Arabidopsis thaliana: one gene and its partner. The protein of the gene in region 2 binds, or shares a complex with, the protein of the main gene of each other region. Each region holds a gene or a part of one and is shown on either strand. Other genes may lie near its edges.

Region 1 (14,546 bases), on a different chromosome or scaffold from region 2:
GCTTTGTCTCGAGCTGGTCCAGTCCGCGGCATTGGTTATATCACGCGAAGAAGGAAACAATAACAGTAACGATAACAACACAATGATCTACCCTAGGATGAAAGACGAACACACGAGCGGAAGTAGTTTGGATTCAAGATTGGTTTATCTGAATCTTGGTGCTACAAATCGTGATATTGGAGATGACAATAGCAATCAAAGGGAAGGAATGAATCTGCATCATCATCATCATGACCCATCAACGATGTATCATCACCACCACCACCATTTCTAGGTCTTTTTGTAGTCCCTATCATCCTTTTTTGATAACCATCATCCTTTAATTAAGATAAACATATTCAATATCTAATTAAATTGTTGTTATGGTATTCTTTTTTTCTCTATGTATATGGCCATGCGAACAAATTTAAACGTTAACTCCATGGAGTCATGGAGAGTGGAAGGGAACACAAACAAAAGGGTCATTTATATATAGATGGATAAAGATCTTGAGTTATATCTTGACATGTATAAGCTTGATTAATATTAGGTCGTTGGATTTACATTATTCAATTTTCTTATAATCAAACAATGCATTACAGTGATCTTGATCGTAGCATTTCCTTTCCTTTTGGGTAAAGTGAGGCTAAAAAAAACAATAATAGCAAAGAAAAAAAGCCAACATTTATGGAAGTGTCAATGTCATCACCACTACAATATGTACATTAGTGTATTCAAAGACAAACAACAAATGGTCGGAGCTTGTAACTTTGTAGCCATATGAAAAATACAAATCCTGCAATAATATAATAACATTACTTCTGCTCCGAAGGAAAAAAATAGTTTGGTGAAACTTGAAAATTGAAGAAGCTTTGTGGCTAAAATAAGATTTTCTCAAAACTAGAGGACTACTCTACAAAATTTTGAAGCACTGTATAGGTTTTGCAACCTAGTCCTTTAGAAGAGAGGAAATTCTCTTTGACTTGGTCAGTCATAAGTGTCTACAGTGTTACTCATGGTCATGGATTAGATTCGCCTGAGCGTCTCCGTCTTCCGACGCCGAGCTCTCTCCGTCAATAATGTCCTTTTCCGGCGAATCAAGTTGCACGCTTTCCGGAGTCTCCGGAATTTCACTTTCGTTTTGGCTATCTTCCGGCTCTGAATTCATCCTCAAATTCTCTCCTCTAACGAGATTCAACACAAATCCATTGTGTGTTCTTCCCGTCTGAAGATAATCGCCTTCCGTGACAGTGATGCTATGAGAAGACGACGAAGCAGCTACAATCGAATCGTTCTCCGAAGCTCTAATCTGTTCCGGATCAACGGCGTCGAGATTCTGGACGTAGTCAGTGAACATCTGAGCAGAATTGGTCCTCATCAATGGTCCGCCAGATCTAGTCCAATCTTCAGCTTCTGGAGAATCACATTCGCTTCCTGCGTCATAGGTATGGCTTAAGTTACTGGTTCGATTACTATTCCTCCCAGATCCAACCACGATATGCTGGTACAACCGTGAAGCTTCAGCTAGGACATCATCATCGACGGATCCGGAGGAGTTCTGACGAGCTATACAATTCCAGGAAGGGATTCTTTTGGAGGCGTTGAATCTATTGGTTCCGGCCAAAAGATGTTTAGATGGTGGAGAGGAAGAGATGGCGGAGAAAGCAGCGGCTCTTTCTGCGCTGCGTTTAAGGCGGCGCATGTGGTTAAGAACGGTGACGCACTCGTCGAGTGCTAGTTCGATCCCGAAGTTTGCTTTGATTACTGCTAGTTTTTCCCAGGTGCATCTCCTTCCTTGATTTGCTGCCTTTTGAATCTCTACATTGCTTGGATTTTGTATGATCTTCAAGTACTGAACCCGGAAACATATAGAACCTCTATACATTAATAATTGGATTAAGAGTGAGGAAGTTTTCTAGTTGGGAATCATTATTTAGTTTACCTGAGAAAAAGTAGCTGGCATGACAATTGTGACATCGCCTTCCCATTCTTGAGCAAATAGTGAAGCTACTTCTCTTAGAGGAAGCCCGAGTTCTAGTACTTGATTACATCTATGCTTCACTTCCATCTCCGCGAGTTGCGCGAGCTTTGGAATGATTAAGAGATAGAATTAGGCATTGGATTATAAGTATTGTGGATTAACTAGATAGATTATGAATCATACCTTTGCTGCAAATCGACCTCCACAAGCTCTCACAAACTCCTTCATCCTCAAGAAGGGTGCTATGTGAGGGTTGGCTTGACTGACAATGAAATGGTTGACATTGAAAAGCTCTTTGAGTTGTATCATCGGTAAGTCCATCTCCAAACTACCGTCCCTCCAGCGCCGAACTGATGCTGAGCCCTCTTCAGGATCTAAGTTAAATGGTGGATGATAAGGAACAATCTCTCCAGTTCTGTCTTTGGCCATGAGTTCTTGAGCTTCGAAAAGACCTGGGAAAGCACAAGATGCAGTCACTGCACTCCATATCACAACATGAGGCGAAGTCAGATAATTGAGACATCTAGGCGGCTCGTGTTTCCTCAGGGAACAAACTGTTATCCCTAGAATCCGTCCTGTTATGTCGTAAGCTTCTTGGAATGTGAGATTGTTGGTGAGATTCCTCAACTTCCATTGCAGATGCCGGATCTCATGGACTGCGCCTTGAGTCATAACCCGCTTCACAGTAGTGAAAATTCCTCCCATCTGATCAAAGAACTGCAGAGCATGCCAGGACCCTTCAAAGAAGCTCTGCAACTCGGGCCATGACCTTGTCCCCACAACCGCACACATTACAGACCCCACGCTTGAACCAGCTATAATTCTTGGCAATAGCTTATGTTCCACAAGCGTCTTGACCACACCAAGATGGAAAGCCCCAAGAGAAGCTCCTCCACTGAGAAGTAGAGCTGTTCTTCCATACGCGTGTCTGGTCTCATGCATAAAAGAAAGTTTCTCCTCCAGAGAAAGCTCTTCAGTGTCCATGTCGCAAACCATCCTAAGCTGTGTAGAGACCTCATCGATATACTCTTTGATGAGTCTCGGCACGTGAAGCCTTCCCTTGTGAAGCTCAGGGTTACACATATTACCGAGATTTCTCACAAGATCAGCTCTCATACAGAAAATAATGTCTCTAAGAGAGCCCTCATGACGTCTATGCTTAAGTTCATCAAGCTTATTACTTACGAGCTCCACATCAAAAAGATCTGTCTCGTTCACCTTGGGAGTCTCTTTATCTAGCATCTTTGCGGCGTGAGACCATTCCTCATATGTCAATGCAGCTCTCATCATGTTCCTCCAAAATTTTCTCCTGTAAGCCATCTCAGCCTTTGCTTTTAAGCTTGTGTAGCGGTTCAACAGAAAGGCCATCGTCGTCACCATTACTAATATCCCTTGTGGATTCCTGGGATGTAGCAAGGACACAAACGGTGATAGTAAAACCCTACCTCCTCTGAGGAAAAATTTGAGAATTCTGAAAACTTTGTGTCTGAATATAGACACGGAGTTGCAGAACAAGATCCGGACGGCAATTGTTCTTCCGATTATAGTCGTGGGTCCTATAATTGAGAACGCATCAACGCCTGCTTCGTTGCTTATATCCATTGTCTCCGACTCGAAGACGAGAACCTAATCACTGGTTTTTACGACGGACACAAAGAATCGAACCCAGATGCCAATTTTGTCTGTAAGACCAGAATCAGATGAATCAAAAAATCGATTTTTTCAAACCCATTAGAGAAGAGAAGGAGATATCGCTAACCCACCGAGGAATGAAATTGAGAAAGATGAGACAGCAAGTGATGGGAGGCATAGGGATCTGCAAGATAACATAGAAAAAGAAAAGATTCCGATGTATAATAGAGGACTTCAAGATTTCGTTTTTAGCGAAGAACAGAGGAAATTCATTTAAATGAAACCTGAGATTCATTTTTGCTATGAGACAAAATTGGCGATCTAAGTAAGACCCAAGCTAATCTTTGGACTTTCTAATTTTGGGAACATAAACTCGCGAACACGACAAATTGCAAAAGAATAAAAAATTGTCTTTTTGCACAAATAGTCTCTGTTTTTTGAAACTCGACGAATATAAAACCGTTGAATTCAAACATCTCTGGTTCGTATTAAATAAGTTCGGTATTATCCGAGATAATCATCTCTAGACCCAGCGACAGACAACAAAGGACTGAGTTCTCGTAATCAGGCCCATTTTTTGGTCAGGGCTAAGGCCCGTTTGTTGAAAGTTAAAAACCCGTAACTTTTAATACTGATTTAGGTCTATTATTATCCTCGTTGCCAAACAGACAAACAGACAGACAAGAAGGGCAAAGACCAAAAACAGAGAGAGAGACCACAGTCATATAACTAAAGGGAGAATCTGCTTAGAACTGAAACTAACCTTACAAAAACATAAAATCTGGTAACGTAAGCGAGACGTAGAATACAAGCATAAAATGCCTTTTGTCTCACTTTGTTCCAGAGTAGATAGATACCGCAAAATCAAAAGAGTTCAAAACTTAAAAAGCACCATAACGCAAACCCATCTCATTCCTCATCATCCTCACTGTCTTTGTTCTTCTTCTTCTTATCCTTCTTTTTCTTTTTCTTCTCACTCTTCTCTGCTGCTGATTCATCTTCTGCGTCAACAGCAGCTTCGGTGTCTTTGCTCTTCTTTTTCTTCTTCTTCTCAGACTTTGGTGAAGCTACCTCTTCTATAACCTCCTCCTTCTTATCTTTCTTCTTCTTCTTTTCCTTCTTCTCAGACCCGGCTTCCTCTTCTTTCTCCTCTTCCTTATCCTTCTTCTTCTTCTTCTTAGAAGACTTCACCTTCTCTTCAGCCTCTTCTCCTTCAACTTCTTTGGTTTTAGATTTCTTGGTTGTTACAGGAGCAGGGCTATCACTGCTATCATCATGCTTACGCTTACGCGCTTCCCCTGCTTCTCCATTCTCAGCGTCAGCCTTTATCTCCTCAGGAGCAGCAGCAGCACCAGCAATTATAGCATCTCCACCGGTAGGCAAAACCACATTCCTGCTCCACTCAACCGGAGTCTTCTCATTAGGCTTCCCATGCTTATCCAATTTCCCATCAGCAATAAGCTTCTTCTTCATAGAAGCCCTTGGTCCCAATCCCCACTTCCTCGGGTAGGTATCTCTATCCATCACCACACGCTTGATCTTAGCTACCACACCATGATCACAAGTAGCCATCACAGATGTTGTCATCTCAGCAATCCCAACGGCAATCGCCTCACCCTTGGTAGTCATAAGAACGACTTCAGTACCAACATCAATGTCATTCTCGAATCTCAACAACCCAGGAATCATCAACTTAGCACCATAACAGATAGCATTCACAGCAGAATCCTTGACAACAAGTCTCTTGTAACTCGTCAATATCATCTCAAGAGGCATAATCACCCTCCTAAGATAAGACTCATCTCTGGAGTTGTCATACACAAATTGGGCATCCATCACATCATGCATAGTAACCATGTTATTATTCTCACCCAAAATCCCAGACCTAACCCTCCTAAGCTCCTGCATATGCCCACCAACCCCAAGAAGTAAACCCAAGTGAACACACATAGTCCTAATGTAAGTACCCGCCTCACAAGAAACCCAGAAAACAACCAAATGCCTATCAGCATCATACTCAAGCAGCTTGCTTTCATAGATTGTCCTAATCCTAAGCTGTCTTTTAACAGCAGAGATCAAAGGAGGCCTCTGAAACACAGCTCCAGTGAGCGATTCAAGAGCTCTAGCTACTTTAGCAACATCAGGGACAGCTGAGTGAAGCCGAGCAACACAAACGTACTCTTTACCCGCACCTTGCTGCGATTTCACAAGCCGTGTGGCTCGGTCAATACAGACAATGAGGTTTCCAGTGACTTTTGGGTCAAGAGTACCACTGTGACCGGTTTTCTCAACACGGAGGATACGCTTAATCCAAGCAACGACCTCGTGAGAAGAAGGGTTCGCGGGTTTATCGAGATTGATGACACCGTACCTGATATACTCTTGAAGAGGACGTTTCAGAGGAGAGTGACCGGCGCTGATTGGAGTGTAGTGACCGGTACGGACGTTGAGGCGGTCGTAGTTCTTGAGGAGGATGGGCCACTGAGAAGTGTCGATGGCTGGAGTGAAACTCTGTGGCTTGATCATGTAGTCTCCGGTGTCGGCGGCATCGTTCTCCGTTTTGTCTTGCTTCTTCTTCTTCGAGTGTGAGATGTCGACCTCCGCCATGGCTCCGGTCGGATTAGGGTTTTGAAAAATGGAGGAGGAGGCGTTAAAAGTTGTAGCGGAAAAAGAGGAGACGACTGATTGGTAATTTATAAAGGACTAGGGTTTTTTAGGGTTTTAGGCGACAGTGATGACACTGGAAGCTTGAAGGTAATCCCTTATTGGGCTTGAGTTGGGTTTCTTTGATTTTAATTGGGCTTTTATACAAGTTCAATTCGTTTAGTGCCCAAATAAACGAGGTCCATATACCCGATAAAACCTTTAATTGGACTTTCATACAAGTTCAATTCGTTTGAATATTATCATTCGTGAAGTGAATACCAGTTTAAAGACCTTTCATAGTTCAAACTTCAAAGTAAATATAACCCTTTTTGTGTAGATAATTAAGGTTCTCTTTTGTTGTGCCCAAAATGTAGAAAAAAGCTCTTTTGATACGAGACAATTGAATGTTATGTTAATAAAACTGCTTATATAATTAGAAGTATTGATTGGTCATATAAACCTAATGAAGCATGAATAACGCCTCGTGATAATTATTATATTAAGAGTCGAACGTCTGTCTTTTTCAGTAACAAGAAGACAATCCTTATATTACTAAAACCAAGTCTTGACCACAGAAAATCATAAATATGGATGAATATAGTTAAGTGTATACTACTCTCTTTTTCCGCATATATAAATACCATAAGATTTATGTGGCCATTCAAAGACATGAAAAATTATCACGATTTTAAAATGTTTCGAGTGAAGTGTTTCGATTTGATTCTAAAATTCTTGAACAAATCAACCACCGCCCTAGAATATAGTGAAATAATTCTTCGAATATCCTTATTTACGCTAACTGATTCGCATAATGAACAAAAATAACCCCAAGTTTTTTCAAGAATATAGGTCCCATTGTTTCAGACTTTTACATTTTACACCTTAAGTTTCTGCATTTAGGTAAAGTCAGCTCTCTGGCTCTCTCTCTTGTCTCGCCAATAAATAGTCGCTTAACAAACAAACAATTTTTCTTTAAACCTAAAACTCACCAAAGAGAAAACACTGGGCTGAAGTAGGAAATGGCCGGCCTTCAATATAGTTTCTTCCCGACCGACTTCTTCTACCCACGAGCTTCTCCTCCGGCTACGACAAGCCTTGTCGCCACCAATCCAAAACTGGAGAAAACCCAAAAGAGAGATGGTTTAGTAGTGATTGATGAAACTCGTGCTTCTCTGTCTCTGTTTATACGTGAAAAGAAGACTAATCAGTCACAAACATGGAAGAAGCAGCCACTTTGGATCGAAGATGACATGTGATACATCTGGTTTTTGTCATAGCTTCATCAATTCTCATGTCTTTTCTTTCGTTAACTCAATAAGGTCATTTATCTATCAAGTTTCAAGGGTATATCAGGATTGGCTGTTATTTAAGGCTGACCTTAACCCAAAAAACAGAGTGTTTTCTAGATTTTAAAAAACCTCTAATGTGCCTCGTGTGGATCTTTGAATTCTTGTAATTCCAGCGTAATTTCAACGCAAATATCACTGTCCTAGCTCTTTACAATTTGTTCTTATTTCTTTCTATCGTTGCCTTATATAAAAGCAAGTTCTTTAAGTTGGCTATGAAGGTGTTATCAGTTTTACAAATTGTTGAATTTTGGTATCAAAATGATCATACTAAATAAATAGGGTGCAATCATTAGATGAAGCTAGGAAGAAAAAGCAGAGGGTAAAAGCCAATAATGTGCAACATGAATTGGGTCACCCAACCATTTACATTCCCATTTGGCAAAATCCAAATAATCTAATAGTAACTAAGATAAAATGCTTAGAAGAGAGTCAAGTCTGTAGAGAAACGAAAGAGAATGAGATGAGATCATCGGTATAAACCAATTTTGCAGCTTCAAGCGGAGACCTCCACTCAGAAGCAAGCGTCCAAGACACAGTAACAGCACAGAGCAGCAATACTGCAAAAGCAAATCACCATACTCAGTCATATCCAGTACTGAACACAACATGTATTAGCCAGATAACTCCACAAAGTGAGAAAGAAAACAAACTTCTGAGTAATGAAGACATGATGGCACACATCTTTTCTAATAACCTTCGGTTCTGAGGTTTGAATTATATCTTACACTCAGATCAGCACTATCAGATTCAACATCTTTCTATGCATTACTATAAGGTGAGGACCAAATCCAAATGAAAACAAACTTATGAACAAACGTGACATGACATGGTACTACCGATTCAATCAAATGATATAAAAAACCATGAATTCTCTCTAAGGATCAACAATTCTCGAACCAAAAACTGAAAAAACATTGAAAGAACAATTTAAAGTCGAGCAAATAACTTACCATCCTTCAAGCATACCAGGACTGTGTTTCTGTTGCTGTTGTTGCTGAGGTGGGTAACCTTGTTGAGGATATCCTTGTTCAGGGTACCCCTGCGGAGGATAACCTTGAGGAGGATAACCTTGTTGAGGATATCCCTGCGGAGGAGGATATCCTTGCTGAGGATAGGGTTGTCCCGGAGGTGGATAAGCGTCCTTGGGTGGTCCTTCCGCCGGATAAGCTATTCAGATCGAGATATAGATAACGTATTCAGATCCATCAAAGCAGAATAACACGAATTTCGAAATCAAAATTCAGAATCTAAACAACACTTTATATCATATTTTGGAGAAGTAGTTAGAAAAAACTCAAATCTTAAACAAAAAGCGAAGAGAAGTGAGACCATAATAATTCAAATAATCAAAAGCAGAAGAGTAAGGAGTGACCATGAGAAGGAGGAACACCAACAGCAGGAGGTTGTTGACTCATTGTAGTTATTTTCTTCTTCTTCGGGAGTTTGGAAGATGATGCAACAGAGAAAAAAAGTGAGAAGAAAGAGGAAAAGGAAAAGCGCATTTTTATTTGTAGGCGAATTAGGTTTACTCTTTTTAAAGGTATTTTCTAACGGTTATCCTATCAAATTATATCTTAGTCAACTTTTTTTATGTTTTAAATGTATATCCTAAATATTTTCTTGATTTTTTTTTTTAACTTTTGCTTTTGGGAAGTGAATCCAGATTCTATTCCCTATAAGAAGATATTTTTTTGGTAAGCCCTATAAGAAGATATTGTTACATTTATCTTTGACTATTTTAATTACATTAATTTAATTTGGAAGGATTTTTAATTTTTAGATATTAATTACATTTATTTATTTTTCAAACTTTAAATTTATTTTCTCACTTTTCTTGTATTTAACTTAATTTTTAAAAACTTTCTTTTCCGTAAATTCACAAAAGCAATTATATTCAAGAAAAAAAAAGAATCTTACCACATTTTTTTTTTTTTACTTTTCATATTCCTCAACTTTTTAAGAAAATCAGAAAAACAACAGAATATTTAATTAAATTATTTACATTTTGACATGCAACCAAATTTCATCAGCAATATAATTTCACTAGAAAAAATCATCATTAATTTCATATAATTTGTTTTTCATAGATCAAATCAAAAGATTTTTACATAGTTAAACCAGAGACAAGGCTGATGAACAAATCAAGTAAAAAGGGCCACAAATATTGAAAAAGGAATCCATGTTTTCCAATGTTAACGATTCTCACCCCTTACTCCCCTAGTTATCTCATTGTCTTGTGGAGTTAAATTAAAACGCTAAGAGATCAGCTGGAGAAGTCATCATTTGCCACATGAGCTGATGGAATTATGGCATAGCATCCAGTACTGTCTCAATGGCATGTGGAGCCATGGCCTCGGAGGAGGAAGATCAAGCCCCAGTTTTGATGGCATTCTGGAAAAGACGAGAGAAGGTAAATGATTTTGAATAGAGAGAGAGAGAGAGAGAATGACTTAAATTTTGTGATCAAGATCATATAAAATCACCTCTTCCCACTGAGGACTCCGCGAGCTGATGTTGTCAGAGAAGAAGCTGATATTCCTGAAAAAATTGTTTTATAGTGAGGCAAAAGAATCTGTCCTGCAATTTGTTCAATATAAATGTCAGCAAAAATTGAATACCAAACAAAAGCATAACAGATCATCTAGATTAACTTGTCATTAGACTTGGAACAATCTACAAGTTTACCTAAGGTTAGAAAATTGCTGCGAAGATTGGAAACCATTAGAGAATTCTTCTCAGGAGTACCGTGTTCTTCTAGTAGACTTTTGGAGTCTTCGAAGGCATCATTGGATTTAAGGATATGCTCTCCACAGTGTTCCATTTCAAACCAAACACCACAGGGGAATCTTTTACGCCTAACAAGCCAAATCATAACCTCTGCATATGGTGTTGCATGGATGACGGAGATGGCAAATTCAATCAACATACATATGGAGTTTATTGTAGTGCTCGTAATGGTGAAAAAGATGTAGAAAACTGATGTTGTTGGCAAGAGAAGCAGAAGAGGAGTGAACAGAAGAGATCCCACTACATGTTGCTTCACAGTGTAACCATAGCTGTCCATTCTTTGACGTAGAGGATTCAATTTTCGCCCTCTGGAAGAACAAAGAAGAATTCAAGGTAAGGTTACTTTAAGTAAGGAACTGAGGTGAACAAAAATGGTTCACCAGTAAGAAGATATAACAATACTTTAGTATTTTCATTGAATTCAAGAAGTTTAAAAAGGAAACGGAAAACGTATTGCATGTCTCCTCCTTTTAGATTTAAGAAAACCAAGAAACCGATTCACCAGATGTTAGTTATCAGCTTAATGAATGAACTCATCTAATTTAATACTCAAGATTTACCTGAAAAGCCTCCACAAAGCTGCTAAGGCTTGGATTTGGTGAGAATACACAAGTGTGATTGCCCAGTGAAGAGCCATTATATGAAGTGTTGCAAAAGTAATGACATCTATGACAAATGCGGCAGATACTGTGGCACCAAAAGTAATTCCAAGGATGGCAATTACTCTTATCAAACAAAAGATGAAAGAAGCCATGAAGACCCAGAGAGTAGACCATATCTGTATTACATTAAGAGATACCATGCCCAAAACTCCAGCCAATTCTGTATTTAACTTAAAACCCGCTGGAACTCCCATCAACCACACACTACCAGACCGCAAAATACCATTCGTAAACTCCTTTGCAAAGTCGAATACAAATGAGCAGACAGATTCGGTGTTAAACAGTAGACCTAGACCAATCAAGTTCCCCAAAACAAGATCAACAGCCATGGCCGACCATGTAGAATGTCTTTGCAGTGCAGCTTCCTCTGCATGTTTCACACAGGATATGGACCTTGAGAAACCCAGAAGAATTGTCATAAATTAATAATCGTGTGAAACTTCTCAGAAAAATGACAAATGCATTGCATAAAGGTATCTAGAATTAAACTTTTTTTATTTCCCAAGATTAGTAGGTAAGCAGTTGTTGTTAGAAAAAAAAATATGAAGATGCAATTTTGAGCCAAGGGCAAACAGAAAAAGTTTACAAATCTAACTAAAGAAGAAAATTTGGGTATACGGTTGAACTTACATCATGTCAATCTCTTCAAGGAAGATTGGCCAATATAAGATCTGACAACTACGTATCCTGAAGTTGATCCATGTATTCTTGAGTACCCTCCTCGATGCGATGTGCACCCATGAAAAAATCAGAAAACTTGAAAGTAAATAGAAGAATTGGGCAAGGCTATAATACAGACTTGATAAAGAGCCTAAAATTGTGGCGAGTAACCGCCATGTTAAAGAAGATATCCTGAAAAGCAAGATAGAAGCAGTTGGAACAACTAACAACAAAGAAGAAAAGAATTCAACAAGGCAAAAAAAAATATCACGAGGGCTTACAAGTAACTAATGGAAAAGTTCTGGGAAGAAGTCTCCAGCTGCGTGGATATCTTCTTATAGGCAATCTTGGCAGCTGCGGCGCAATTTAAGGAAAGAATAACAGTTTCCTGCTTACATAAGAATGAGAGAATATTAGTAACAAGTCGAGAAAGAAACACCACAACAAAGAGAAGCATTTTGGAAACTACTCAACCATTTCATTCAGAGGTTTCCTATTGTGAAGATCATCAACCCACTTGGGTTTCTTAAGAGGAGCTTTTGTCTGAGGAGAAGAATTCGAAAAGCTTAACGAGAAATGGTGAGAACCAAACACTGGAGTGTCATAGACTATGACCTGACAATGACATGTCCATGTTTAAGGGAGTCAAACACTGGCAGCGTGTAGGTTCAGAAAAGAATAAAACAAGAGAAAGACATCATGACTTACATACGTGGACATCGCATTGAGATACAATATCCCCATTCCAGTGTATATGATGCAATCTAGAACTTGAATGGAATTCCATAATTCTATGCTCTGCAGAATCATGCACCATATGAATCCAGTAATTTCTCACAGAATCTTTCCTGAAATCCTCTAATAAGCCATCAACCTTATGACAACCACAACTGAGGCCACTATATTTGCAAGGCCTAACATAAGCTCCAGCCTTGCGGGACATATCTTTGTCTCTTATAATCTTTGATACGTTTCCATTAGCATTACGGCTTATATCATAACGACCAAGGAGTGTAAATGCTGCCTTGTCCCGTAAAGTTGAGGGCATCTTCTCATTTGTTTCACGGAGTACATCCTGTTAGAAATCACAAAAGAGAAACGTCGCATACACTGTTTATCAAAAAGCTAGAGAAAAAGGATTTTTTGTTTTGTTGAGGTGGAGTTATTACTTGGAGCTTAGATCCGGCATTGGACAAGGAGCTCTCATCAGAGATGAAGGACACAACAACGTCAAGACAAGAAGAGGAATGGCAAACGAACCACCCAAACAATAGACTGTGACTCAAATCATCAGTTGATGCGAGCTGTTTAGGCAACCAAATCCTACATTTTCTCTTCATTTCAGCTCTCTGCCACACAATTCCCAAAATGCCAAACGAAAGAGAACAACATATCAACAAGAATTTGAAAAAGTGAACATAATACGAGAAAATTCCAAAATAAAAGAGAGTAATTTATCGATCTAAGAAGACACAACTTCAAATGTGAACTAGAGAACTATGTAAGTAAAGTAAAACCCCAGAAAAATACTCGCATCGAAGAAGAGACGATGAGTAGTATCAACTTCTACAAGGCAATTGGCGATCGGAAAGATGAACCGAGATTCATAACACAAATCTGAACCCTAGAAATTCTTCAATTCAACTTAAATCTAATCACGAAAAGACGAACCTCGTGTTTCAGGAGAGAAGGAAGTCTAGAGTCGAAACTTGGTTCTGCAACCGGAAGAAAGATACATTCCGGCGACGAGACCAACGGCGACAAGGGGAAGAGATAGATATTTTTCACTATGGGCCGGGCTTTTCTTAATAACGAGGTTCACTGGATTAAACAAATTTGAATTCAACCAACACTACACACTTTGTTCTTTTTGTTACAATATAGTGGATTTGTCTAAATTCTCAACTATGTCTAGAAATAAACTGTAGAATTTATTTCTAAAATAGATTTTTATTAATACTGTACTTTGGAAAAAAGCTGAGGATGTTATTAAATGCTTGAAGATTTCTTAGTTAAAACATACAAACACACAAAATCTTAAAAGTACTTTGCTTATTTGATAATCCACTAAAATCATATGAATTTTTTAAAATGAATTGAAATAAATAAATAGTCGATGTGGATTTAAAATTGTTTTAAAATACATAAACCAATATAAACTTTCCAAAATGACTACACTGATGAAAGCTAATAATAAGTCGATACAGGTTATACTAAGCAACACTATCAGAGAGAAAATCTGTGCTGTCTTGTTGCTTCTTCCTCCTACGAGCATCAACAAGCTTACTAGAATGTGTTCCAAGCACTTCGGTGATGGCTTTTGGCAACCAGAAGCCAGGCCGCTCAAGATATGGTGCGCGGTCAATAACCAATGGTTCTCTCAAGGTTACATCAATCCCCTGATAAGTCCACAATGCTAGTGTTGCTGCACCTTTGAGGCCCAGGGATAACCAGCCAAGACCAGCCACTGAAATGTCTATGCTTTTCACGTCCCAGCTATTTCCCGACACCTGAATCTCCTTCTCTTCCCATGTTCCCAATTCAGACGCTCTGTTCTCTCCAATTGGTGGCTATACATAAAAGTAAAATGGGTTCTCCGTTACATTCTGATGTTGCGGAAAAGAGGAGATGCGCAAGAAACAAGCTTTACTTACCTGAAGGCGTAAACCGGAATGGCCCTTGAATATTTCTTCGGCATTCTCTGTTTTTCCTAGATGCAATGAAACACTATGTGATGCCCATATTGTAATGTATATTGTTTCAACTGAAGCAGAAACGAGGTCTAGCCTGACCAGGCCACCAATGTGAACAGACTGTCCTGCCTGCAAATGAAAGATTCAACAAAATCAG
Region 2 (16,184 bases):
TTTAAAAGGCAAGAAGACAGGGAGAGGTGGTTGTGTTCGAATCTTCCCCACAGCTGGGGAGATTTGGGCCGTCTACAAGAACTGGTCACTGAACTGGGACGGATCAACACCGGACGAAGTGAGGCACCAATATGAAATGGTCGAGATTCTTGATGAGTATACTGAACAGTATGGTGTGTGCGTTACCCCTCTTGTTAAATTAGAGGGCTACAAAACCGTGTATCACAGGAGCACAAGGGAGGACAGTAAGAAGTGGATACCAAGGTGTGAAATGTTGCGGTTTTCACATCAAGTGCCGTCTTGGTTTCTTAAAGATGCAACCAGCGGCTTTCCCGAAAACTGTTGGGACTTAGATCCAGCTGCAATCCCCGAGGAGCTGCTTCACATCGGAGCAGGAACCAATTGATTTCAGTGACCCTGTAAGAGAAAGATGGTTTCACTTTTCAGATTGAGACCAAGTGTAAGAGTTGTTGTATCAGCGAAGATTGTGGAGTTTTATGAAGGACTATTAACACGCAAAAACCATACTGTTTGGTTCAGTGAAGCTGTTGTATTAGGCAAATGTTCAACGAGTAAGCAAAGCATAGTTTGACTTTTGTTTACTCTGTTTCTTCTTTTCTTTTTCTTTTTCGATTATGTATTCGTTTCTTTGTTGACCTTAGTGATGACAGAATTTTTACAAGTAGAGTTATAAATGTAGCAATTATCTTTCCATTTCTTGCTGCCTTTTATTTAGTAATTGAATTTACAAGTTAGTGAAACCATTAACTAAAATGTTAATAAAATTAATTTTTATTCAAAATTATAAAATTAAAATTATATTATTAAAAAAATAATAGTTAATTGAGATGGTAAGGGTAAATTTGGAATTTTATTTTTGTTATGAGATCGTGAGTATTAAAATAGCAATAATTAATTGTTTGTGTATTAAATTGCACGGTTTTATTACTTCGTGTATTTACCTTCCAACAAAAAACAATTGGGTCTTAAACGTCCAAATAAAATTTAGTTGAGGTTTTTTTTTGGTTTTTTCCCTTTTATTTAGTAATTGAATTTTCAAGTTAGTGAAACATTCCACGGGTCGAAACCATTTTAAAACTTTGAACAAGGTATAGTTGTTCCACAATGAAAATGTGTATATTACCTGCTGCTTCTACTAACTCTTTAGTCCAAGGTCTAGAGGAAGATATTTTTGTGTTCAGTCTTTGGATTTGGTTAATATCATGAAGTTGTTCTTTTGGTTACAAGGTCTTCATGAACTAAACAACACAACTACCATACTTAAGTAAGCCACATCCAACATTCTTAACATGAGTTTCTTTTGGTTAATTGTTTCTCTGAGTTTAATCAATTTATACTTTCATGGTCTTGGTTTGCTTGTTGATTCTGTTGTTTTTGGTCTTCTGCTTGATGGTTAGATCTATTTGTATCGTGATTATGTGTTTGTAAGGAAGATCACTTTGGGGAAGTTTTCTTAAACTCTTGAGTGCGATAATCTTTGAGTTACTATCCAAAATTTGGCAAAACAAATTTGTTGAGGCAATGTGATGACAATGGCTATGATATCTGCTTTAGTTTCTAAAATATGTGAAAGTTGCAATTAGGTTTGGGCGTTCAGATATTCGGGTCGGGTTTTTCGGATTTAGAAATCTAAGACCCGTTCGGGTATTTTAAGACTTCGGGTTCGGATCGGGTTTTTTGGGTTCGGATTCGGGTTTATCAGGAGTATCCAAAACTCAAAACTTTTATATCAAAATAGGTTAAAATTACTTGAAACTATTCAAAAATTTATAAAAACTTGATTATTTTCTATCCGAATTTATCTAAAAGTAGGTAAAATACCTAAAAATATACAAAATAACTTAAAATCCAAATATTTTAGGCATTTAAGTTGTTGTAGACTTGTAGATATGATTATTATTGATAAATTATTTGTTATATATATATTTTGGATATGTTCGGGTACTTGATCGGGTTCAGGTTCGGATCTGGTTTTTGGGTTTTGAAGTTTAGGATCCATTCGGGTATTTTAAAATTTTGGGTTCGGATTCGAATCGGATTTTTTGGGTCGGGTTTGGTTTGATTCTTCAGGTTCGGGTATTTTGCCCAGGCCTAGTTGCAATTGAGAATTCAAGTTCTAGATTAGTTTGAGGTTTTGTGATTGTTAAATACAGGACATGATGTGGAGTATAGACTATTGTGGGATCATAACTTTTTTTGAGGAATGTCTCATGTTGTGTGCTTGTCATCTCTCTTTTATTAGGTGGTTTTTTTTTTTTTTTCCCCTTCTCTTTAGCTCTGAATCTCAGGCTTTCCTGTGATAAATGACAATTTGAAATTGTTTTGTATGCCCTTATATGCCCAGGTTATACGTTTCGACCTCTGGCTTTGCAAACAATTGATGTCTCTATTATACCATCGACTCATTACGCTTGTGTGGATGTTTCAGATTATAAACTTGTTGGGTTTGGTTTCCTTGTTTTAACATATATAACTGGATGTTTTGCCTATACTATTTATACTGTTGGAAATGTAAGTGAGTTCCTTTAGCAAAGAACAAGATACACTTATTAATGTACTATACAAGAAGTAAATTAGATACTTGATTCAGTGACTACTCTCTTCAGAAATTTTGTTTACTCTAGAATGTTTAGTTCTAGATACTTGATTCAATACTACTTCCTTCGGATATGTCTCGATAATGTTTTTAATGGCTTTAATTTCATAAAATATTTTCTCTCTTTATATGTCATTGCTAAATAACAGAATTAAAACAATAAATATATGATGTTCTAATCTTTCATCAATTTATAGCATCATCTATTGAGAAGTGGACAAAAACTGAATCAAAACCCTGATCGCAAATAATTGTCAATCGATCAGTGATATGGTGTTGTGAAGAAGCTGGGTTCAGATTGAATCGGAATGTGATTGACAAAAAAAAAAAAACTGAATCCAAATTTGTTTTTTTTCTCAACGTTGGTAACAGTAAAAACTGTTAATAGTGTTTGGGCTGGAAAAAATTAAGTGGGCTTCGGTTTTAGATTTGGGCTTCAATAACAGTATGCTTTAAACAAAAGAGGTAAATGTAATGGGCTTTGTTAATTACCAAGTTTCTAACAAAATTATTAATGTTACAAACATATATTGTTTTTAGAAATTTGTGACAAACACATTTACTAATTTCAATTTCAATTTTATGATACATCATTAGAATTTCATAATTGTTATTTTAATTACCTGCTGTCCAAATTAATATACATTCTTGAGATATCCACATTGCATTGCATAAATAAAATAAATACAAGTACTAAATCTAAATATCATTATGAAAATAAAGTGTCACATACTTATACCCACCACAGAAGATATAGTTTTTATATAAGAAAAAAAAACATCAACAACCATTCAAAATCATATGCTTACAGAAATATACATATTATATCGCCTAATTCCATAAATCCGTAGAATAACCAATGTTATCGTTACCTTAAATACGTGTTCTTTAATTATACACACAACCGAATATATAATTGAGCAGTAGGAAAAAAATACAATAACCATACTGAACATAAACTATATTGTCAAAACACAAAACATCAACATTAAAAAAAAAAATTATCCAGCAGTATACCGTGGATCATATCCTAGTATTGAATACATGAGTACAACTACAGAAAATAACTTTTATTTTGTTCCTATATATTAATTAAATTAAGCAAACGTTTTGTTAATTATGCTCAAACGTTTTGACATTCATTTATTAATTATATGTAATCAGATTAATCAAATATGATTAAGTTTTTAATAACTCTTTTGCATTTTATTTTGTTCATTGATAAAATAGTAAAACATTAAGTTTCAAAATTAAACCCTATACCTTAAACTTTCTTAAAACATATTTATTTATTTATCATTTAATAAAATAAATCGAAAACAAATAATCAAAAATTGAACCATATACCCTAAAAATCATATAGGCCTGGATTTCCGGTTAAACCCGAGTAAAGCAAACCGGAAGAACCGAATCATTGCGAATTGAAGTAGCAGAGAAGTAAACCGTTCGGAAAAATTAATTTGGGCTATCGGTATTCGGTTCGGGTCAGTTCGGTTATCAGAGTCCGATCGGGTTAACCTAAACCGAGTATTAGAAGCCCTATATAAGGTTAATGTTTCACCAACCCTATTTTCTCTACTTCTCTCCGCCTCTCTCGCATCTCCAAATCGAAATCGCTCTCTGCCTCTCTTCGTCTCCGTCTCCGTCTCCGTCTCCATCTCTGTCTCCGGTGAGTATTCATAAATCTGATCTCAGACAACATTAGATTTCGATTGTAAGTTCTTTAGGTCTGTAGATTTTGAGTAATGGGTTTGACAACATTAGATTTATATTGCCCACTCTCACTTGTTTGTGTTGATTACTGTAATGTTGAATTTGGGTTTCATCTACTAACTAAGATGAAATCAATTTGAGAAGACTAGTGGATAATAGTGAACACGTTTACATGACTTTTGACTTGATAGTTTGCTATTCTTGTTGTATCTGTGTGAATTGTTATAGGTTGCTTGATTTTGATGTTCATGTGTCAAAATTGATAATGTAGCTTTTGTATCTGATTAATTAAGATTCTAATGCAGTTGAGTTTTTGGTCTTAATATTAGGCATTGTATATTATACCAACGTGTGAAGAGGTTCTGTTGTTTTCTGAATTTCTCTTATTTTGTGTTTCATTCAGCAAAAGTGTGTCGTGAGTTGATATTCTTTTAGGCTGAATATAAATGTATGTATAAAATTTGGCTTATATTGTTTGATAAGAACACTAGACCTCTTTCAAGTTGAGCGTTATGTTGATGTATATTACTTGACTCATTTTCAATTCTCTTGACAATATTTGACATTGCATTTACATGTGGTTCCTGTGTTTGTTTAGTGTTCAACCTGAATGTTGAAGTTTAAGACATAAATCATCTATACTTGGTTGTTTCTTGATTTTGAATCCTTAATAAGACATGGAATTTCTCCTCTCATCAGGTAAGTCACTGAAAGATGGGGCGTGTTAGAACCAAGACGGTGAAGAAATCTTCACGTCAAGTCATTGAGAAGTACTACTCTCGCATGACTCTTGACTTTCACACTAACAAGAAGATCCTTGAAGAGGTTGCCATCATCCCATCAAAGAGACTCCGCAACAAGATTGCTGGATTCTCCACCCACTTGATGAAACGTATCCAGAAGGGACCAGTCCGTGGAATCTCACTCAAGCTTCAAGAAGAAGAGCGTGAACGCCGTATGGACTTTGTTCCCGATGAGTCTGCTATCAAGACTGATGAGATCAAGGTCGACAAAGAGACTCTTGAGATGCTTGCTTCTCTAGGAATGTCTGACACATCCGGCATCTCTGCAGTCGAGCCACAACAAGCTATGGCACCAATCGCTGCTTTCGGCGGCAGGGCACCCAGAAGATACTAAGATGGCCTCAGCTAATCATCAGCTACGATTGGCTCTCTTTTTTCTCAGTTAGGGACAAGAAAGACTTGTGTGGTTGTTTATTGTTTCTTCTGATTATGTCTTAAACTCAATGTGAGACTCTTTCGTATTAATGGTTTTTAAGTTATGTGGAACCAAAATTGGAGTTCAAACATTTGATAGTACCAATACTTTTTGCTTATCAGATCCGAGTTGATTCATGGGAGAGTTGTTGTATCAGCGAAGATTGTGGAGTTTTATGAAGGACTGTTAGTGAAACATTCCACAGGTCGAAACCATTTTAAAACTTTGAACAAGGTAGAGTTGTTCCACAATGAAAATGTGTATATTGCCTGCTGCTTCTATTAACTCTTTAGGTCTAGAGGAAGATATTTTTGTGTTCAGTCTTTGGATTTGGTTAATATCATGAAGATGTTCTTTTGGTTACAAGGTCTTCATGAACTAAAACAACACAACTACCATACTTAAGTAAGCCAAATCCAACATTCTTAACATGAGCCTAATACTAAACTATTTAATCCTCTTTTAACACTTACAAATACTTAATGAAGTAGTCTAGTACCAAAGATTCTGTATAATCTAGTATTCCACGGGTCAGCTTTGTTAGTATAGTAGGAGAGGATGCAGCACTCGATCCATGGTGGATTTCTTGGAGCCACAAAGTTCGAGCTTTCCCGTATACCGAGCAACCAATTCCGCTTCTTCCTCAGCGTCTCTGTGTCCTGAAACCCTAAACCCCAAAAGTACTCCTGCCAATAAAATCTAGATTAGGCTATCAGAGACGATCTTTGTTGACAGTTTAGATGCAAATAGACCAAATGGTGTATTTACTGCGTCTTTATTGCATAAGAAAGCCTCTAAAGTCGCTGTTGAATCCTCCAGTGTCAACAAAACTTGGTGGTGACGGCGATTCTCATCTGAACAGAAATCCTCTACTTGCCAAGGATATGCAGCTACAACCCGAACAATACATCTGTACTTGCATGTAACCTGTAATAACAACGTAGGCGATCACATAAAAGTATTCTTAATCTTTTCAGGGAATACAGCAAATAGATTCATGAATGGTACCTTGGGGAATGTTATGATGTCCATCAGTGTAACAAATGGGGCACAATTGTCATCTGTCTCTGCAAGACACCAAGAATGTTAAGGAAGTCTGTCTAAAGATTGACACAGAGAAAAACATTCGTTGAGATTAGATCCTGCTCATTAAGTAAAAGAGAAGTATTGCAACCTGTTAATCCAGGAGGTGACGGAAAACACCAGAATGAAATGTGTCCCAACTTTGATGATAGTCTCTTATCATATATCCTAGTTTTTGGCACATTAGATTATAAAACAAAATGGTAAGAGATTCTCATGGTATGCAAAAAGGTCGGAAGTAGTTACTGAAAGAAATATCAAGAAGTACAAACCTCATGATCTTTTCAACTAAACGATCATCTTGAGCGAGATGATGAACCTTTGTAGAGCTGGTAACTTTGATTACCCAAGATCCTCTATCAACTTCACAGAGTAAATGGTAAAGTTTCACCCAATCACCAGGTTTAACCCGATAAAATAGATGACTGCTTAGATGAACTCTCAAGATCGTTCCAACGGTTGGAAAGCTGAGCAGTACATCTCTTGACAGTAAAGTATGAACAGAGAGACTGCTAAATGCCTTGTCTTCTTCACTTCTCCTGTCGATAGCCAAACATTGTACACCAAATAGAAGAAGAGTAAGCGTAGGATATGGAAAGCGTAGAGTCAAGCCTAAATGAATGACTCAAAACAGATAATGTGAGGATTTAAAACTTTTTTCCTTCGCAGTTAATACTCACTTAGCCAGAATAGATGCTGGGGGTGCATCAGTCCCGTCCCAAACAAAAACAGCGCTAGTATCTTCATCGGCATGGAGAATCTCCATCACAAGAAACAGCAGGAAACAAGGTAGGATCAGTCAACAAAACATAAAAGGAGCCAAAAAAAGATTTGAAGTAACAATGAAGTGGTATAGAGGAATGAAGAGTTAAAAAGCTTTCTCACAGTTAATAGAGAGTATAGAGCATATTACCCTGCACACCAAATCAAAGCGTTTTCCTATCTTGATCTCTCTCAAGAAGGAAAAAACTTCGGAGCAAGGTTTTGTTCTGTAAGATATACTCTGCATAGCTAAGTACCAAAACAGTAAATGAAAGCTTATGAGAATCGTTCCAAGCTATCCAAAGCCATTATACTATATGCATAGTTGAAAGCAAAAGAAGCTCACAGTGTTACCTTTAATAACTTGGCTACAACCCGCAAAAACTTTGCGTAAATCATCCATGGCACTCTTGTATAATGCTTCTTCTTCATGAAAATTGGTACTACATTGGTAACAAACAAAATCCACACCTTCGAACAAGGCAAAGGAAGAAACCCATCTACTACAAGCAGCATTTACTCTTTCTCCACTATCAAAAGTTTGCATCTACACAATAAAAATCCAAACTTTATAACCTCCTGCACAAAACACAGAAGGAAAATGAAGAGGTCTTTGTACCTTAATGCGAGTAAACAGAATCATGTCGTCGTGGTTCTTGATTTGAGGAAGTTGTTCAAGAGTCTTACTAAATACATTAACAGTAAGTCCAGGACTTGGATACGTATCATCAATTATCCGTAGCGTACAAATCCAATCTAAGAAAAAAATCCAACTTTCAGATTTTGTTGGGTCAAATGTTAGGGCTTTCACAAAACAAACCAACTAAGATTCAGATTCAAGCAAAATTCTATGTATTTAACTCAAATTTTGGTTTTTTTTGGATAAGTACCATTGTTGCGACATTGTTTTGGTTCTCTTTGTTCAAGGACGATACCAATGAGACTGACTTGTTGGTTGATGAGTTTAATGGCGTCTTTGATTTTGATGAGCTTGGGACTCTCTCTCTTCTTCGCCATCTCCCGCTTTGCTACAACGTTTTTAAGTATTATCCTGACGTCACAAAATTAGAGAGTGGTAATATGTGGAATGAGTATCAACAGAACACTAAGCACCAACCTGCAGCCCATAGCCAATAAGTGGAGTGAGTATACATTGGAGGCAATAAGTGGAATGAGTATACATTGGAGCCAATAAGTGGAATGAGTATACATTGGAGGCAATAGAATAGCCATCAACGGAATGACAATGCAAGGATATCAAAAGAACACTAAGCACTAACCTGCAGCCCACTGGAAGTATTCAATGCAGAATCAGACTGAAGGCAAAAAAACTTTATCTTTCTCTCACTTGAATCATCCCCTGGATATAGCAAATTTCATCACAATGGTGAGAAGTAACCAAAGCTAACAAATGTTCCAGAATATGATCCTTCCCTTACATCAACCATCTCTCACAAGAAAATTCTTCAATCCACAATTTTTACTACTTTTATCTACCAAATCCTCAAATCCATTACAATGAACATAATCCCATGAATACAAATGATATATTTTGTTGTGATTAGATTTTAAAGGAATAAACTAACCTCAAGGTCGTATCTGTGCACATTGTTTCCGGCGACGACGATTGCCACCGGAATGAGACCTTATCAATGATCAATTCCGTTAGGTATCGAAATTAGAACCCCTTCATCAACGAACAACACTAGATCTCTCCAGTGAAACGGCCGACGCTTCTCGATCCTCTAACGACGCTCTCAATTCCACATTCTTCTCGCCGTTCTCCGTGAAGTTGCTTCTGTGAAGATTCACTAAAGTCCCAATCAATGTAATCGGAGAAATCTCCGACCAAATCGCTATCGCCAAAGAGACTGTTTTTTTTTTCTTGTTTCTTTTTTTTGCCAAAAAGTTATGTTATATATATCAACCCAGTGCATCATCCAATAATGGTGAACCTTGGAGAGGCCAGTACAAACAGGATACAGAGATAGAATTTTTACATATCAAAGACGTCTAAGTAAAGATAACAACATTTACGTTACAGTTAAGGTACAATATTGAACTACCACGAGCATCTCCAAGAGATACTCTATCCCTCAAATATAAAGTTTTAGGTTCTCTAAAAGATAATCCAATATAATTTAGAGCATATCCAAAAGATATTTTATATATAGAGTATGTAAACTTCAAATATAAAGTATGAGTAGTTTCTTCTCCAAGAGTATACTTTAAATATGAAGTTTCTAAAATATGTGTTTTGCATTATAGTCTTTATATTGTTCATAATTATTTTAAAACTATATAACTTTAATAATAACACTAAAACATACATTAAAATATTACACATAATCTTAATTAACAAAACAATACATTTATAAATAAAATACATATAAATAAAAATTAAAAATACATAAATTAACTTATAAATTACAAATTACTCAATAAAATTATTTTCGTAATGCTCTCATATGTGATCAATCAATGCATTACGAAGAGATAGATAAGTCTCTTTATTTTTAATCTGTAGATTACGAGTCAAAGTGTTGAAATATTTTGAATATATAAAAATTAAAGGACTAAAATGATAAGGGAATGTGACACGTTTAGACACTTTTAAAGAATTTTATTCCTTTTGAGGCACTTTTCAGGGATTAGGCACTTTGCCATCTTTTTGAGGAGAAATTGGACTAATTTACCCCTGAAGTAATGATGACACAATAATTATTAAACTTATTTTTGATGAGATCGTGTGGGTAAGAAACTATCCCCCTTTTATCATCTCTCTCTTCCATATTCTTTTGTTTTTCATCATTTTCAATCTCTCTTTCAAAATCATTGTCGTTCTCTATAATTTTTACAAAATCATGAAAATTATGAGGTTATCCTAAATTCACAATCAAAATCTATGTTTACCCTAATTTTTTTTTTTTTTTTTTACTTTTGTATATTTTTCTCCATTCGCTGGAAAACTTATGGCCACCACCATCGTTTCTTATCGAAGGATTATTAACATTAGAAATCCAATTCGCCGAAGATTAAGACAGAAAATATTGGTCTCAACTCAGATCACTAAGGATGTTTGAATTGGGGAAGAAGAAAAACTGAATCATTGTTTGGGAGAGGTAAGAGCATCTTTAACCAAATTTTATCCTCTCTCGTATTGGATTTTTACTTGGCTTTATCTGTTTCTTAAGATTGAATGTTAAATTGATAAATAGTAAGATAGGATTCAATCCCAAGTTAGGATCGATTTGACAAATTACTTGAAGAATTTTAAATTAAGTAGTTGACTCAATCCCAAGTTAGGATCCAGTGATATGAATGTTGTGAATTGACATTGAAATTTGATTTGTTAAAATGCATCTAGTTTTCCAGTTAAAATTCTAATACCCTTCTCTGGGAACACCTTGAATTCCTTGTTTAATTTTTGCTCTATTTCCAGCCTATAGATACGTAGTTGGTCTTCAAAAACTTTGGCTAACAATAACTTTGTGTTAATCTCTTTCTATCTCAAAAATGCTAGGGAAGATGTGATATTTGGTTTTATTGGAGCTATCGTTTCCCAACAGATACATCTTCCGGATCTAGAAATGATGTGTTTAGATCACACACCTATCCACACCTCTATATCCATATGACTTTTTACATTAGCTGCAATCACCAATTTGTTTTGACAATTTGTTCACATGTATATGGATACTCTTATCATTGCATAGCACTTGGCCACTCTCTTGAATTTGATGACGTTAAACTGATCATATGATTGTTGGCTTTTTAGATTTTAGATTTTGCTTGTTTATGGAATGTTTGTATCTTAGTTCTAACAATGTGGATGACGATAATGGAATGTTTATATGGATGGCACATTATGGATGACGCATCGTGGATTGTGCAGATTGTTATGATGAGAGTTGTGAATCTTTTGGTCTTACATGTTAAGAATTGGAAAAGCTATATGTGGTGCTTTTGGTACGATTGTTGTCCACAAAGTTTCATCCATCTGATTCTTAAAGAACATTTAGTCATTCTAAATCATTTAGATATTCTTTTTAAAGATATAATTGTTCACTGACGAGTGTCCAAACAATCAAGTCCAAATGGTCACCTAGTAACTCACAGTTTGTTTTATATCAATGCACAAATTTATACATGAACAATAATCGTTGATAAAAAATTTGTTGAACTTTTGGGTTCTTCCTCTATTTAACTTTTAGAGGTTCACTTCTCTTACATCTCTTAGTTCTCTTTAATGCTTTGTTTCACTCACTCATTTTAACTCAAGCACAAAAAGAACCTTCACTCTCATTCTCTCAGTCTTTGGTTAGTTTCTTGTTTTGACACGAAGACATAAAACGATTAGTAAGAGAGAGAAAAGTGAAAACATTAGTTGTCAACATTTTTGTATTGGATTCAAAGATAGATTCTTATTATAAGACATACACACACATATTCATACTAGTTTACTTCTACTAAGTACACACTTGCATTATGCTTCTACTTAGACCTAGACCTTACTTTAAGACATCATTACTCTAGTCTCTAAGGTATACCCAAGCTTACAAGCAAGGTTTACCAACAACTCCTACACAACAACAACTCTAACAACTCTTCACTAAGCTAAACTTTAACTAACATAACACACTTACTCATTTAGGCCTAACAAAACAATTAGCCCAATCACTTATTATTTCATCTTCTCCCATGCATATTCTTCTTTTGCTTGAGCTTCTTCTTCTTATTCATGTTCTCATTGAAGCATTTTATCTTACATATTTAATCAAGAACTCAATCTCAACAGAAATACACCGTCCATTTTTCTTTGACCAATATTCACTTGTGTATAGAGTATGGACATTATCATAATTATATAATGGATCCATATCCAGCGATGACACATTAATGGTAAACAAATGCAACATTGTCCATTGATGTGTGTCCAAGATGTGCAATCCATATGGTTGTTTATACCAACACATAAGTTATACATATATAGAACAAGATGATGAATAAGTCATAACGCTCTCTCAGTCGCCACCAACAACTCGATCGCCTCCACCAACCAACAGACACTTCATCACCATATAAAAGACAACCGTCGCAAGAAACCATAACAAATCCGTTGGAGAAACAACTAAGAAGAGACATCGAATAAAGTAATGACTTTTAGATCTAGACCCAAATCTCCTGTCGCGAATCACTGGCTGTTTCTTCTGTCGTTAAATGTACTCGCTTTCGTCATTTACACACCTGCCGTTTTTGTACTCCACCAGTGCCAAAACTTGACTAATGAAGCGAGTACATTCAATTAGCCGAAACTGAATCTCAGATTCCAATGAAACCATAGGAATTCGAGAAGATCAAAATAGGAGAACGAATTGGTGAATTGACTTGTGATGAGAAGATAAAGAAATAGCAAAATAATGAGAAAAGTTGTTTTTTTGTTCTGCTTGATTTTGTTTATTTTTCGATAAAGTGAGAAAAAAGAAAGAGAAGAGAGAGAAGAATGAGAGATATAAGTCAAAAAATATTATCACGAGAGGAAGTTATAGTTAGAAGGGCAAATTGGACAATTTGGCTTAGAAAAGTGCCCAATCTTTTTAAAGTGCCTTAATCGGCATTAAGTTTCCAAAAAGTGTCTAATTACGTAATATTCTCAAATGATAAACATAGTAATTTGTACGATTATTTATGAAACATTGAATTTTAGGGACTTAAATGCAAATAAAAAGATGAAACTTCAAATTTAGAGTATTGAATAGTGATACTCCAAATATAGTGTCACTATTCTTTTTTTTTTTTTGTCAAAACCCAATTTCATTAAAACTAAACCAAACGTACATAACCGGAAGATAAAGTTCCACGGCCATCAACATTACAGAAAGAGAGTTTAGCGGTAGCATCCGCAATTGCATTAGCAGAACGAGAAATAAAATTAAAACAGAGGGAATGGAAGCTGACTCGAAGAGCTCGAATCTCCATCAACAAACCGTAGATCTCATTAATTGAGATGTTAGAAGTCAAGGCATCAACCACCGATTTGGAATCTGAGAGCACCATTAGATCAGTTCGTCCCAGTTGTAGCGCATGTAGAAGGGCTGATTTGATTGCCCAAGCTTCAGCTGACAGGGCTGAAGGAAGCCGACGACAACCGGCGGAGTAGGTAGCGGTTTCTTTCTCCAACGCCGTTGCTGATTGAAAGACCCACCCCGAACCTGCTAGCGACGACTGCGCTATCCAGGCCGCATCCACGAAGCAAAAGTATCCGGATCTAAGGACCGGGAGTTGAGATATTGGGTGTACAACGTTTCTAGTCTTTGGTAAACACCGTTGAGCTGATTGCCAGGCCAGAGCATCAAGAATAGCTCTTGTCACTGTCTCTATTGCAGAGAAATGGGATTCTTGAAAGATTAACTGGTTCCTAGCTTTCCATATATGCCGCAGATCCAAGGAAACAACGCTGCACTAGTAACACCTGTAGGGGGTAGAATAATTGCTTTCTTGAGGAGGCTTAGTGCATCTAGCATAGAAGAACCAGGTGGGACTGTAGTCTCTTGAAGGGGAGCTAACTCCCAGACTTGGGCAGCAAACTCACAATGGAAAAACAGATGAGTGGTCGATTCTGGTGCACCACATCTATGACAAGCCGCTGAAGGTGATATATGGCGTCTTACCAATTGGATTCCCACCGGGAGAGCTTCCATCGCTGCTTTCCACATAAGGTGTTTGATTTTTGGCAAGGTTTGAAGCTTCCAAAGGTTTGATTGCCAATTGAATTGAGTTTGTGGTATAGGGATTGAGGCTACTGATGCAATGCCATAGCCAGAGCGAGAGGTATATTGTCCAGATTTTACTGGAAGCCAAGCAAGTTTATCAACACCTCTACTAGATGGAGCCGGGAGTTGTTTAATAAGGTTCTCGTAGTTAGGGAGAATGACAGCGATTTTGTTCCAGTCCCATTGGAGTGTGTTTTGATTGATTAGAGCTGAAACCCGGAGATCTTGATGTTCCCTCAAAGCAGGACCAATAGGAACTAGTGGTTTGGAAATAGATAGCCAAGGATCATTCCAAATGCTAACCTTCTCTCCATTAGTAATCAACCAACCAAGACCTTCTTTTAGGATTTCTCTTCCAGCTATGATGCTCCTCCAACCATGAGAGGGTTGAGAAGGAAGTTTGCACTCCATAAAGGAGGAGGAATGGCAATACTTGCCCAAAAGGATTCGTGATAATAGAGATTCCGGGGAATTCAACAACCGCCATCCTAACTTTGCAAGCAAGGAGTCATTGCATCGTTCTATGTCACGGAAGCCTAACCCTCCAGCGTTTTTTGGGTTTGTCAGCTTTGACCAAGCGACCCAAGATGTCTTTCGTACATCCGGTTTAGTATCCCACCAGAATCGAGTTAACAGGGATTGGATCTTTCTACATAGAGCTGAGGGTAGTTTGAAGCAAGACATGGAGTAGAGAGGCATCGACGCCAAAACAGCCTTAAGCATAACCTGTTTTCCGGCCTGCGAGAGAAATCTAGATGCCCAACTGTGAGATTTTTGTCTGATTTTATCAATAATAGCCCCGAAGATATCTCTCTTACGACGACCAAAGTGCTCTGGTAATCCAAGGTATTTTCCAGTGCCTCCTTCTTTCCTAATTTTCAGAATTCTCTTGACTTGTCCTTTTACTGATCGTGGGGTTTTTGATGAAAAGGTGACAGAGGATTTGTGAAAATTGATGCTCTGACCTGAAGCTTTACCATATCTTGACAAGATTTCAGAGAGTTTGTTGCAGCTTTCTGGGTCAGACTTTGAGAAGAACATGGTATCGTCGGCGAAGAGTAAGTGGTTTACCCGCGGACCATTAATGGATACCCTGACCCCCGGGAGTTGTCTCAGCCTCTGCGCTCTCGTACAAAGACCTGACAATACCTCCGTACAGAGAATGAAAAGGCAGGGGGATAAAGGGTCGCCTTGTCTCAACCCCCGAGTAGGAACAACTTTGCCTTGGGGGGTCCCATTGATGAGAAAGGAGTAGGAAACAGAGGTAACACACTCAAGCACCCAATCTATCCATATACTATGGAAACCAAATCTTTGAAGGACTTTTTTGAGGAAGTCCCATTCAACTCGATCATACGCCTTACTCATGTCGGTTTTAACCGCCATTGAACAATGTTTTTTTGCAGATGAGGTGCGGAGAAAATGAAGAACTTCATGAGTAATAAGGACGTTATCTGATATTACCCGACCGGGCACAAAGGCGGACTGATTCTCAGAGATGAGCTTTGGGAGGATAAGTTGCATCCTCTTCGTCATGATTTTAGCAACAATCTTATAGAAGATGTTACACAGGGCAATTGGTCGATAATCTGCAACTTTACGAGGTCCCAAATCCTTAGGGATAAGACGGATGTGTGTTTCATTCATTCTGCGAGGGAAATTCTTGGAAGTGAAGAAAAGCCGGATCTCTCTTCCAACATCAGTTGAAATAATATGCCAATAAGAATGGTAGAAACCCGCTGTAAAACCGTCAGGACCAGGCGCCTTACTCGCATTGATACTAAAGACAGCATCTTTTACTTCTTCATCATTTGGGATTCTAGTTAGAAAGTCGTTGTCTCCCTGCGAAACCATGGGTTCAATAGCTTCATCGACCACTGAAAAATCACCATCAGACTCAGAAGTGAAAATTTGTTGGAAATAGCCCGATATAATCTGGGAAATTTGGTGTTCCTCATGCTGTGCAACACCATTGATATCCTCCATCACAGTGAGGCGATTTTGCGTTCTCCTATTCC

The links.
Region 1: AtPOT1a (region 2) and NAP57 share a complex: the UniProt entries of both Arabidopsis thaliana proteins name them as parts of the telomerase holoenzyme complex.

What each region holds. Positions count from the first base shown.
Region 1 is NC_003074.8:21,149,754-21,164,299, forward strand, and holds NAP57 (homologue of NAP57), read right to left. Parts: upstream 6,323-14,546; 5' UTR 6,200-6,322; coding exon 4,502-6,199; 3' UTR 4,062-4,501; downstream 1-4,061. Other genes in the region: BOP1 (Ankyrin repeat family protein / BTB/POZ domain-containing protein), read left to right, coding at 1-274; SDP1-LIKE (sugar-dependent 1-like protein), read right to left, coding at 989-1,831, 1,922-2,065, 2,144-3,562; AT3G57160 (cysteine-rich TM module stress tolerance protein), read right to left, coding at 8,099-8,144, 8,538-8,754, 8,960-9,089; AT3G57170 (N-acetylglucosaminyl transferase component family protein / Gpi1 family protein), read right to left, coding at 9,867-9,978, 10,071-10,164, 10,273-10,682, 10,935-11,429, 11,667-11,888, 11,978-12,084, 12,171-12,311, 12,405-12,506. UniProt on the Arabidopsis thaliana protein: Plays a central role in ribosomal RNA processing. Probable catalytic subunit of H/ACA small nucleolar ribonucleoprotein (H/ACA snoRNP) complex, which catalyzes pseudouridylation of rRNA.
Region 2 is NC_003071.7:1,884,040-1,900,223, reverse strand, and holds AtPOT1a (Nucleic acid-binding, OB-fold-like protein), read right to left. Parts: upstream 9,541-16,184; 5' UTR 8,980-9,540; intron 8,754-8,979; 5' UTR 8,674-8,753; intron 8,511-8,673; 5' UTR 8,411-8,510; coding exon 8,284-8,410; intron 8,150-8,283; coding exon 8,013-8,149; intron 7,941-8,012; coding exon 7,748-7,940; intron 7,643-7,747; coding exon 7,545-7,642; intron 7,392-7,544; coding exon 7,312-7,391; intron 7,171-7,311; coding exon 6,904-7,170; intron 6,800-6,903; coding exon 6,723-6,799; intron 6,616-6,722; coding exon 6,557-6,615; intron 6,476-6,556; coding exon 6,317-6,475; intron 6,235-6,316; coding exon 6,028-6,234; 3' UTR 5,710-6,027; downstream 1-5,709. Other genes in the region: AT2G05230 (DNAJ heat shock N-terminal domain-containing protein), read left to right, coding at 1-406; AT2G05220 (Ribosomal S17 family protein), read left to right, coding at 5,045-5,467. UniProt on the Arabidopsis thaliana protein: Component of the telomerase ribonucleoprotein (RNP) complex that is essential for the positive regulation of telomere length. Binds RNA non-specifically. Binds specifically single-stranded telomeric DNA.